Linked DNA regions of Coturnix japonica. The protein of the gene in region 1 purifies or fractionates together with the protein of each later gene. This does not show direct contact. Links are inferred from orthologs where the notes say so. Each region holds a gene or a part of one and is shown in the gene's direction. Other genes may lie near its edges. The genes, in order: CUEDC1, TOM1 and SMURF2.

The links.
Region 2: the proteins of CUEDC1 (region 1) and TOM1 purify together in Homo sapiens (co-immunoprecipitation; 3 studies listed by BioGRID and IntAct, with this or other methods). This does not show direct contact. The link is inferred for Coturnix japonica from reciprocal best matches to the Homo sapiens genes CUEDC1 and TOM1.
Region 3: the proteins of CUEDC1 (region 1) and SMURF2 purify together in Homo sapiens (co-immunoprecipitation; 3 studies listed by BioGRID and IntAct, with this or other methods). This does not show direct contact. The link is inferred for Coturnix japonica from reciprocal best matches to the Homo sapiens genes CUEDC1 and SMURF2.

Annotation. Positions count from the first base shown.
Region 1 is NC_029534.1:7,487,299-7,490,754, forward strand, and holds part of CUEDC1 (CUE domain-containing protein 1), read left to right. Parts: intron 1-216; coding exon 217-325; intron 326-1,350; coding exon 1,351-1,519; intron 1,520-1,892; coding exon 1,893-1,976; intron 1,977-2,559; coding exon 2,560-2,649; intron 2,650-3,146; coding exon 3,147-3,240; intron 3,241-3,431; coding exon 3,432-3,456.
Region 2 is NC_029516.1:47,628,357-47,632,006, reverse strand, and holds part of TOM1 (target of Myb protein 1), read left to right. Parts: intron 1-1,144; coding exon 1,145-1,223; intron 1,224-1,367; coding exon 1,368-1,517; intron 1,518-1,636; coding exon 1,637-1,771; intron 1,772-2,071; coding exon 2,072-2,218; intron 2,219-3,280; coding exon 3,281-3,397; intron 3,398-3,650.
Region 3 is NC_029533.1:7,225,735-7,229,384, forward strand, and holds part of SMURF2 (E3 ubiquitin-protein ligase SMURF2), read left to right. Parts: intron 1-1,395; coding exon 1,396-1,606; intron 1,607-2,404; coding exon 2,405-2,508; intron 2,509-3,018; coding exon 3,019-3,133; intron 3,134-3,596; coding exon 3,597-3,650. UniProt on the Homo sapiens protein: E3 ubiquitin-protein ligase which accepts ubiquitin from an E2 ubiquitin-conjugating enzyme in the form of a thioester and then directly transfers the ubiquitin to targeted substrates.

The DNA of each region.
Region 1 (3,456 bases):
TCTGCAGGGCTAGTGCAGCCAGGCTTGTGACAGAGCCCTGGAGTTCAGCTCTTCTCTGGCAGCTGTGAATGTGGGCTTGTAAGATAGGCACAGTGAGATTTCCCTGAATACACTTGGAGAGCTGAGCAGGTGGCTGCTGACACGGGTTGCTGTGTAATACCATTTGGTGGTGTTTGAGTTCCCTCTGGCTGAAGGCTCTGGCTGTGCTCACTGCAGGACGGATGTGCCGGGGCCTGGACGCTACAGGAACTGGAACCCACCGCTGCTGGGCAACCTCCCTGAGGACTTCTTGCGCATCCTGCCCCAGCAAGCTGCCCGGGCACAGGTGAGCACCAACTCCGAGCCCCTGTGGCATGACCAAGAGCCGTGAGTTGCTTCTGATCAGTTTGAAAATCAGCTCTGTTGCTCTGCTGGGAAATGCTAGAACCAGCCAGTGCTCCTGGGCAGAGCAGTGAGGCCTGATGCTCAGATACTGTGTATGTGAGGTACAAAATCTGCTACAAACCAGGGAGCGTCCTCATGGGAAATCGCGGTACTCATATTCTCCTTGGCAATTCTGAGGCTGGCACCACAGCACCCTGTGGGGACCGAACACAGCCTCAGTGGGCACCAGCTTGGCTTTGTCTGCTCCTCATCCCCTGGGCATCCCACAGCCACTTTGCACCTCTGCAGCAGAGCTGGTGCCCTCCCGGGATGTCAGGGGCCTGGGGACGGCTGCAGATGCATCAGCTTTTCCCTACCCTTTTTGGTGCTGAAGGCAGCCTCTTATATTGCCATATATAATTGCCTGAAAGTTGAGCTTCTCAGCCTATAATACCTTTCTGGGAATAGGAACGTATCATTTCACTGGGACTCAGGGGAGAGAGGAGCAGCTGCCCTTCTCTTCCCTGGTAATTGTGTGCCTTTGCTTTTTATGGCACTTTGAGAGCAGCAGTAGATATTGTAGATAGATACTGTAGGCAAGGGAGAGATCGATCCTGTGCTGTGTGGCTCTGCTCTTCCATATGTATGGATGCAGTGGTAGTCGGGGAGGGTGAGAGAGAGAGTGCGAGCACTGGGGCACTGCCAGCAGGAAATTGCAGTCTCCTCCTTTTAGTTGGGCAAAATTAAAGCAGTGATGCTGGCTGCAGGACCTTTTTCCTTCACTTCCACGTCTTGCTTCAACCCTATGTATTTAAATTAAAAATGTGATCTGAAAAAGAGCTCTTCCAGATGGTTCCCACATCAGGGGCTCTGCTCCCATGCAGCAATGTCCCTCTGGCTCTGCCTGGTGTTGGTGTCAGATGTGGGCTCCAGCAGCTTTGTGCTGTGGCCGTGGACCAACCTCTGTCCATGTTTCTTCCTGCACAGGGCTCCCCTGGATGCCGGCAGCCTGTGCAACGGGGCCAGGGCTCCCTGGAGCAGGAGAGGAGGTGGAAGCAGTACCTGCAGGATGAGCGGATTGCACTCTTCCTGCAGAATGAAGAGTTCATGAAGGAGCTGCAAAGGAACCGGGATTTCCTCCTTGCCCTGGAGAGAGGTGAGAAGCACCTTTAGGGACCTCTGCTTTTCAGGCGCATGCCCCATTCTGGGAGGCTGCTCCTGCTGCGGTGTGTCAACCTCATCCCCATCCGCTGCAGCTGGAAAACCACTGTGTTTTGGTGGCGCTCACTTCCCCTGCTGTGGGCTCCCACATAGTGCCTGCGGTCACTGCGCTGCAGCAGTGATGGTGGTGAGGAAGCTGCCTGCTGGCTCCCACTGCGCCCAGCTGTGCTGTGGAAATGTTTGACATCCCTGGGGTGTGGCAGAGCTTGTTCCTTTGCTGCTACTGAGAGCAGTGGGCATGTATGGACAAGGAGCATGAAGCTGTGCGTGCCAGCTCGAGAGTCTGATCTGGGCTTTTTGTTTTTCAGATCGACTGAAATACGAGTCAAAAAAATCCAAGTCAGCCAGTGCTGCTGTCAACAATGATTTCTGTTTCTCCTCCATAATACCAGGTAATTTCAAGATGCACAGCAGGATGCTCCAAAGCTCCACCCAGTGTGCCATGCTGTGCTGTGCCATGCCATGTGATGTGACTGTGTAGGGAGGAACCCAGCTGTTTCCTCCCTGCTGCACAGAGCTCTTAAAAGCACAGGGCAGTGGGGCAGACAGGTGATGGAGCTGGGTGCCTGCGCCCTCCCCACCCAGCCACTCCCATGTCCTGCCTCTGTTCCTCCCCTGGGCCCAGTTCCCAGAGGTGACAAAACCTGCTGTCTTGATGGGAACAGAGGATTGTGCCTGGGAGACGTAATGACTGTTCCCAAGTAATCCTGATTAACCTCAGAAGCGAGGCAGCTGCCTGGGGACAGAATTAGCACTTGTAGCTGTCTGTGTCCCCGAGTGGGGCTGGGGTGGGTGAGATGCAGCCACTCAGCTGTAAGTTGGGGTCACTCCCTGATGGATTTCTGCACCCCAGATCTTGGAGGGGTTTTGTCACCCAGAACCAGGTGTGGAGTGCTGTGCTCTTTTCCTGCTCACTGTTACTTAGCTCTGCCAGTGACCATACATGCTGATGGTGCCCAAATGTTTGCCTTTCAGGTGATGTAGCCACTCCTGGAACCAGTGAAGCTGGCAGTGCCGTGTCTGACGATGCCTTATTCAGAGACAAACTGAAACACATGGGAAAATGTGAGTTGCCTTCTAGACTCCAGTCTGGCAACAGGAAGGCCATGATGGGCTAGAGGAGTGCGTGGATTATACCACTGTGGTGTGTGTTGGTGATGCAGATGGTGATGGGAATCCCAGCAGAGGAAGCAGAGGAGTTTGCTATAGCCCTCCCTTTCCTCTTAAGCCTGTCACAGTTTGCTTCTCCCACTGCAAAACAAACACAAGTTCCTTGGGCTGTGTGACTCAGACTGCAGCTGGCCAAGACCCGCTGGGGTGGCCTGGGGTAGTCATGGGTAGGGAATACCACAGAAATCCCACTGAAAGGGTACAAACACCAGCACCTCTGGCCTGGGGCCACTTGCGTCTCTGCTGGTGGCAGGACCTGGCTTTCAGTGCCCAGCACCACAGTGGCTGCTTCCAGCACTGCTGGCTCTTGCCCATAGCTGTCTCCACCCCACACGCCTGGCAGCTCTTTGGGGAGTTTGGGGTGAGACCCTGACTGGGCTGCTTCCTTCTAGCAACGCGCAAGAAACTGTTTGAACTCGCCAGAGCCTTCTCTGAGAAGACAAAGATGAGGAAGTCAAAAAGAAAACACTTGTTGAAGCACCAGGTGTATCCTAAAAGGGTCTTGTTGCCATTTACTCCGGTAGCTGGGACTGCTGGGGGAATTCAGGTGGTCCTGGGGACTCTGTGAGTCTGCAGTTTGGAGAGGAGCGTCCCCAGGTGCCCCCATAGCTGTGGGCTATGAGGAGCAGTTTGTGGTGCTACGACCAGGTCCTGGTTTTCCTTAGCAGAACATTCAGGCTGGGGACAGCTGCGTCCACAGCA
Region 2 (3,650 bases), on another chromosome or scaffold:
GTTCTCAGTTATTTTCATATACAGTCACTCTGACATGCACAAATGTGGGCATTCCCCCCTGAGAAGGGATGTTAGAAATCTGCCAAACATGTTAACTCTGGAGCTGGGGATTTGCCAGTGAATCCTAGGGGGTCTGCTCTATCTCACAGTGGAGACGTCAAGAACAGCATGTAAAAAGGAAGGTGATACATGGAATGAAAAATGTAGATTTCACTCCTGCTGTCCCACCACACAGGGAGGCTGATAGATAGCAAGCTCAGTTTGAAACTTCACAGTTGTACGGAAACAAAGTCAAACATCTTTTCTTACAGATCTGTCACCCCTAATTTTCCAGCCCTGCTCTCCCCATGGTACAAATATGCCTGTCTTTGCCAACAGTTCTCCGTCCCAAGCTGTTACCACTTTGTGTTTCATTTCTGGGCTGTTGCTAACACAGCTGTCTCTCCAGTTCTCCTGCTGATGCCCATCCATTGCAGCTTTACTACCCCATGGGCCCCCAGATGCTTCCTCATTACCTTGGTGCCTCCATCCCACTCTTGTCTTCCAGCACTGCTGCTCTTCCAGCCCAGCCTCTCTTCCCCTGCTCTACTGGAGTATGTTAGTCCTTTTGTGTCCTCTCACAAGACCACAGTGACCCTGCTATGCTGCCATTTATGCAAGATTCACTGCATCTCCCAAACTTCTTTTTAGCCTCATTTCCTCCAGGGAAAGGTTTAACAGTTTCTTTCTAAACTTGACAAGGATTGCTTCTTCTCCGTCTCTCTTTCTTATTTCTACCCTTTGCCAAGCTTTTTGTGATCTTGTCTGCATTGTCGCTGCCATGGGATTTTGCTTTACCCCAAACAGTACATTTCTGGTGTTGCTATTACTCTCTGTTTTGTCTGTACACCTTGGATTGTTGCAAACATCAGCACAGAAGCCTCCAGTTTCAGCACCAACACTCAGCAGCAGGACCTAGCACCTCCTACAGAACTACAGGCAAAAACTGCTTTATCAGTCATTGCTTCAAGATGCACTGAAAATGTGATGGGGAAGATCACCTATTGAGTGCATGACTCTGGATGTCAGTGGCTGTTTTGCTTTGCTTCTTCCTAGGTGAGTCTCACCCTTCTGATGATCTTTCTCCATTTGCTTTTTCCTGTAGGCCCAAAGATGCCTTCCGAGCCATCAAGAAGAGAATTGTAGGGAATAAGAATTTCCACGAAGTTATGCTGGCTTTGACGGTGAGTGGTCACAATTCTTTCTTAGCTCTGTGATTCTTGCTGTGAAGCTGAGTCCCCAGGTGCAAAAACATGGGCACCAAAAGACAACAAGCCTAATTCCTGCAGGCAGAGAAGACTGTAGCTAATGCTTCTTTGCCTTCAAAGGTCTTGGAGACATGTGTCAAAAACTGTGGCCATCGCTTCCATATCCTTGTAGCCAGCCAGGACTTTGTAGAAAGCGTCCTGGTGAGAACAATCCTGCCGAAGAATAACCCACCTGCCATAGTACACGACAAGGTGCTGACCCTCATCCAGGTGAGCCAAAGAGTGAGCATCTGCACCAGAGGAGGGACCATTTGTCCTGTGGTATTTGTATATCAGTGTAGTATAAATTATGTAAATGATGATGTGAATGGTTATCTCCTTCTCCCTAGTCCTGGGCGGATGCTTTCCGCAGCTCACCGGACTTAACTGGTGTTGTTGCTGTCTATGAAGACCTTAGACGGAAAGGCCTTGAGTTTCCCATGACTGATCTGGACATGCTGTCACCCATCCACACACCACGAAGGGTAATAAGGCATTTCTGAGGAGGTGGGAGGCATACTGCTGTGAGGATGCTCTAGTAGCTCTGGGTTGCTGTTAGAGAAAGTGGAAAGTGAGAAGCTGCAGGAGGGTCTCTTTGCAAGGCCGTGGTGGACAAAGTGGCTTAAAGCTTTAGGGTAAGAGCTTTAAGGGAGGTGAAGCAGAGAAGTTGGAAGACTTATTAAAAGCAGATGGGGACTTGACATCAACCTTTCTTTCATAATTGTACTACCTTGTCAGCTGTGAGTGTCTTACATCTCTGCTGTTGTTCCTATCTCCGTCCATAGTCTGTGTATAGCTCCAAATCCCAGTCTGGACAGAACTCACCTGCAGTCAACTCCCCTCAGCAGATGGAGTCCATCCTCCACCCTGTCACCTTGCCTTCTGGGAGAGACACATCCAGCAATGCACCCATCACACCCACACAAGAGCAGGTGAGTTGGACACATACCCTCTGCTGCTGCTGGCTGTCCCTCCGCTTGGGGTCTGTTTCACAAATGCTGTTCTGAGACTGCGGTCCTGCTCCTTCCCCAGCCTATATCCTTAAGGAGCTGTTCCAAAGCATCATTCTTGTCATGGTTTAATAATTTTGTAATTTTGTTCAAACCGTGACAATTCTTCAGGGATTTTCTAGAGCTCCATCGTGGTCACAGTAATCAACAGGGATACCACAAACACAGAGTGGTTACGCTTCCCTAAGAAAGGGCTGCTTGCAGCTACTAGGAGGATCTCCAGGCTGTAGGGAAGCAAGGAGCTGAGATCTACAGGCTTTGGGCAAGATTTTTGTAGTGTTGTGGAGCAGAATTTTGCTTTGTAGATGCCTCTGTACCATCTTTGTTTATCTTGCCTAACAATTGACTCCATATGAGTCAGTCCTAACTGGCTATGCAGCTTACAGAGACCAGGGCTTTCTCAGTTGTTTCCTCATCCTCTTTTCTCCTTTCTCACCCTGACTTAAGACACCAACTTCAGCATTAATTCTCCAGCTGCTAGTAGATAGCATCCCCTTGCAGAACAAAGGCTGGGAACTCCTCTCAAGGAACTCATTACTAGTCTCTGAAACAAGAGAGAAAACCTTCAACTGCACTCTTAGCCCAGACTCACCTTCTGAATGGGAATTCATTTTTTTCCCCTCTTCTGCTGCCTTTGAAATGAAATCATTTGAGTGGCTGCCACAGAGAAGCTGCTAGCTGGGGAGAGATTGAATCCTAACAGCAGCCTTTGCTGGTTATTAAAAATCAAGGTTAGATATAGTGGCAAAGGTCCCCAGTGAGATCCTGGCATCTTTTACCAGCGAATGAATTTGATGGTAAGTAATGAGGCTTCCTTCTGCTGAGAGCTCCTGGGAACCAAACTGAGCGGTGACAAATGAGTTCTCCAGTGGCTTTTCCCTTCAGCTTTGTGAATGCATCCACCCTATGTGCTGTCCTTCACAGCTACCTCAGCTATCCCCCATCCTTCACAGGGTAAGCAGTTACTTTCCCTCCCTTCTGCAGATCAAGAAGCTGCGCAGTGAGCTGGAAGTGGTGAATGGGAATGTGAAGGTCATGTCAGAGATGCTGACAGAGCTGGTGCCATCCCAGGCTGAGACTTCTGACTTGGAACTGCTGCAAGTAAGGAATACAAGGCAGCTACTGGTGGGATAGAGGGCTGGCACATGGAGCTCAATTTAGCAATGAGTTGATGAACTGAGATGTACATGCCAGGCATGGCGAACAATTGCACTGGAACAGTTCAGTGTGGGACTTATCAGGGACAGATGGGATAAGGGAGACATGGGGGTTGAGGAGTTTCAGTGACTAAGGGAATTTGCCCTGTTGAGGTTGGAATCATCTCACACGAGGACCTGAAATTCCTGAGGGCCTT
Region 3 (3,650 bases), on another chromosome or scaffold:
CTCACAGAATCAGTTAAGCTGATTTCCAGTGTATTGCATCCTAAGGCATCATGACAGAATTGGGTTGCTGTGCATTATTTTCTTCTTATAGCCCAGATGTAAAATGATAATATTATTAAGAATAAGCTTTCAGCTGTTGCTGAGCTGATCCAAATGTGTGTCACTGCAGGGGCTTCTAGATGGTAGGTTTGTAAGACATAGGATATAGATGATCCCTGTAGACTGGAGTAAATTTCACTTGAATGTGGTTTGTGCAAATTAACTTTAAATAAAAGGTTTGAAAATAACCGAATGGCTGTCAGAACCACAGGGCAAACTGGGAACACTCCCACTTCTTTTTTTAACTGCCAAAAATGAATGCTGTGGTGGTGAAAGCCCGGTGGAAATGAAGTTTGGTTGGTCAGGGGAGCTTTCTCAGTAGACTTTGTTTCAAAACAGGCAATGGACTGAAATCTTAAGAGGTATTGAAGTTGTGTGAGGTTCTGTCTCATATGTTTGGTTTTGTTGTTGGAAAAAAATAAATTGACGTTGCATTGGAAAAAAATATATATCTAAATTGTGACCTTTCCTATTTATCCAGTCAGTTTGGGGCATTATCACATGTCCTGCACAGAGGCTTTTCAAGTTTTAGGGGAAATACAGCTTTTGTCCTCTTGTTTGGAAGTGCCACACTAAAAAGCTAAGCCATGCAAAAAGGCCTACTTGAGAAGTGACATGAGAAAGGACATCTCTGCTCAAAACTGACTTTGTCCAGTAAGAAGTCAGATTTACAAAATCTCTTAGAATTGCTAGTAAAAATACTTGCTTATCTGTGCCAGTTAGTTACATGTGAGCTCCCCACATTCCTGTGGTCCAGACTAGGCCAGGTACAAGGGACAAGGTCCTTGCCAAGCTGCCAGTACAAACATCTTTTTGTAAGCTTACTCTTTTTCATGCAAGCCATTTAAAACAGACTATGGTATTGAGTGTAGATTAGAGGCATAGTGTTTGGCTGATCCTTGAATTTTAAATTGGAGGAAGGCAAAACACGCAAAGGAAATATGGAAATGGTATCTGAGAAATTCAGTGTCAGCAGCTTAGTAGTAAAACTGTATGGTTAATACCTTATTATATCGTGCTGTAACCTTTTACATACTTTGTAGAGTACTACTAATAGAAATAACCAACTCTAAAAACAACTGATAGTTGCCAAGAAAGACAGAAGCATATGTCTTTAGTCAGGATAAAATCTCTCTGAATTTACTTTTTTCTAGGCCTGAATGTTGTTAGTGTAATCACAGTAATCATAGTAAATCGAAAGTACGTCAGTTACTAAGACTTAACCTTTAAGAAACACATGAAGAAAACAGGAGACGTATGACTTGAATATCTGCAAACAGCTGTGTTTGTTTCTAGCCGCCAGAATCAACTTAAAGATCAGCAGCACCAGCAGCAGCAGCAGGTAGTGTCCCTGTGTCAGCTTCCAGATGAGGCAGAATGTCTGACTGTGCCAAGGTACAAACGAGACCTGGTGCAGAAACTCAAGATCCTGAGGCAAGAGCTGTCACAGCAGCAACCTCAAGCTGGCCACTGTCGTATTGAGGTCTCCAGGGAAGAGATTTTTGAGGTAATTTGAGATCTTGACCCATTTGTTAACACTGAGGGAAGGGGAGGAGGGTTATCCATAACTGTCTGAAGAAGTCATTCAGTTAGACAAAATGCTGAAGCCTGTTTGTCTCAAAAACTTTATCACCCATCCCACCCATCCCTGTTGTGTTTTTACTCCACCCACAAACATGATAGCCCCACTGCGTTGTCACCATTTTTCCAGCCAAGAAATATTTGTGTTGGTATTCCCAATGGAGACAGTCAAATCACTTAATAATAAACTGAAAAAGAAGGGGGAGAAATGCTGCTGTAAAGGAGTGGAAATTATTATATTCTTTTTCTGAAGCGTCCCAGGCATGCCTGCCTCTTCTCTTCTGCAAAAACAAAGATTGGGGGCATCATAAATAAAACCTTTGATTTAATTCCATTTATAAAATGAGCATTTGGTTTCTTTCTTTAGCATTCTTTTTATATTGTATTGATGAAGTCTTACTGATAGAGCAATAATTCCATAGATTTACTGGGATGGCGGTGGTGCTGATGATGCTTAAGCATCTTAAGATGCTTTGTGAAGGTTTGCATATCTTCTGGTCAGTAGAAGTACCACTGTTGGCTTTTCACACTATTTTTTACTTGACAAGCATTATCACATTTATAGAAAGCTATGTAACAGTTTGTGATTGGAGAAACAGCAGTCTCTAGGAAAACAACATCCCCTTTGGGCTTAGATTCTGAGACTCCCTTTGTTTCTAATAAGCAGTAGTAGCTTCTTGTCTCTAAATAGCAGTTAATAAAAGAATGTGTTGTGTATTTACAGGAATCTTACAGGCAAGTCATGAAGATGAGGCCAAAAGATCTATGGAAACGATTAATGATAAAGTTCCGTGGGGAGGAAGGTCTTGATTATGGAGGTGTTGCCAGGTAAACAGTGTGTCCTCCATCCCTTTCCTCAGCCCCACCAGCTGCACCACTTTGATTCCTAAACCAAACTGACAACGACTCTTTTTCTTTTAAAATTCTGTGGTTCTATTTGTTCTAGTAACGCTGTATGTCAGAAGAGTGTATATATCTCAGATAGTCTTTTCAAGGAAAAAAAGCAAGGAGAATTTATTGTAAATAAATCAAAATGCCTGTTACCAAAGGTGTCTCTGATGCAACCTGTATCAATTGGAAAAGCTTGGGTATTTGGGAGTGTATGTACACCACTGAACAGTCAACTTGGTGACAGAATCATAATCAGTGACTCTTGGAAAGCAACTTGAAGGAAAATCCTGGCAGCTGACAGGTGCTGTGCATTACTGAACCAGTGAAAATAATTCTGCTTTCTACACGTGCATAGCTGTCCTTTGAAAAGATTGAAAAGATTCTCAATATGCAAATTAATTTATCTAAGGTTATGCAGTAAATTCTTTCTTCTTTCTTGTTCTTCAGGGAGTGGCTCTACCTGTTGTCACATGAAATGCTGAATCCATACTATGGGCTCTTCCAGTATTCCCGAGATGATATCTACACACTGCAAATCAACCCAGATTCTGCAGTTAACCCGGTATGACTGACAATAGGAGTTAAGTAAAATGATGCTTTTGTGACCCAGCAGTTAGGTACATGTGGAGAATAATGTTCTAGATTTAAGAATCTAGTTCTCACGTTAATATTGCTAGAAACTAAATGAATGAAATAACATAATTTGTTGTTAGTATGGATCAAAGAAACAAAGAAACATCTCAAATGATCTTAATTTTCTGTAAGATATTGTTTTATGTTTCCTTTGGGAGAAATGGAGTTTGTTTTGATTCTTAACAGTAAGACTCTGGACTTGAAGCAACGTACCCAGTGTGCTGTATATAAAAACAAACTAAAAAAAGATATCAAACAGCTCTGGTTATGTGTTGGGTGGTGGTGGTTTCCTTGTTGTTGTTAAGGTGTATTGAAATTTAATTAAACGTTCAGCGAATACAATCTAGGAGTTGTATTTAGGTGAATTGCTGAGTCTTTTCTTTCAATTCCAGGAACACTTATCATATTTCCATTTTGTTGGACGGATAATGGGAATGGCTGTGTTT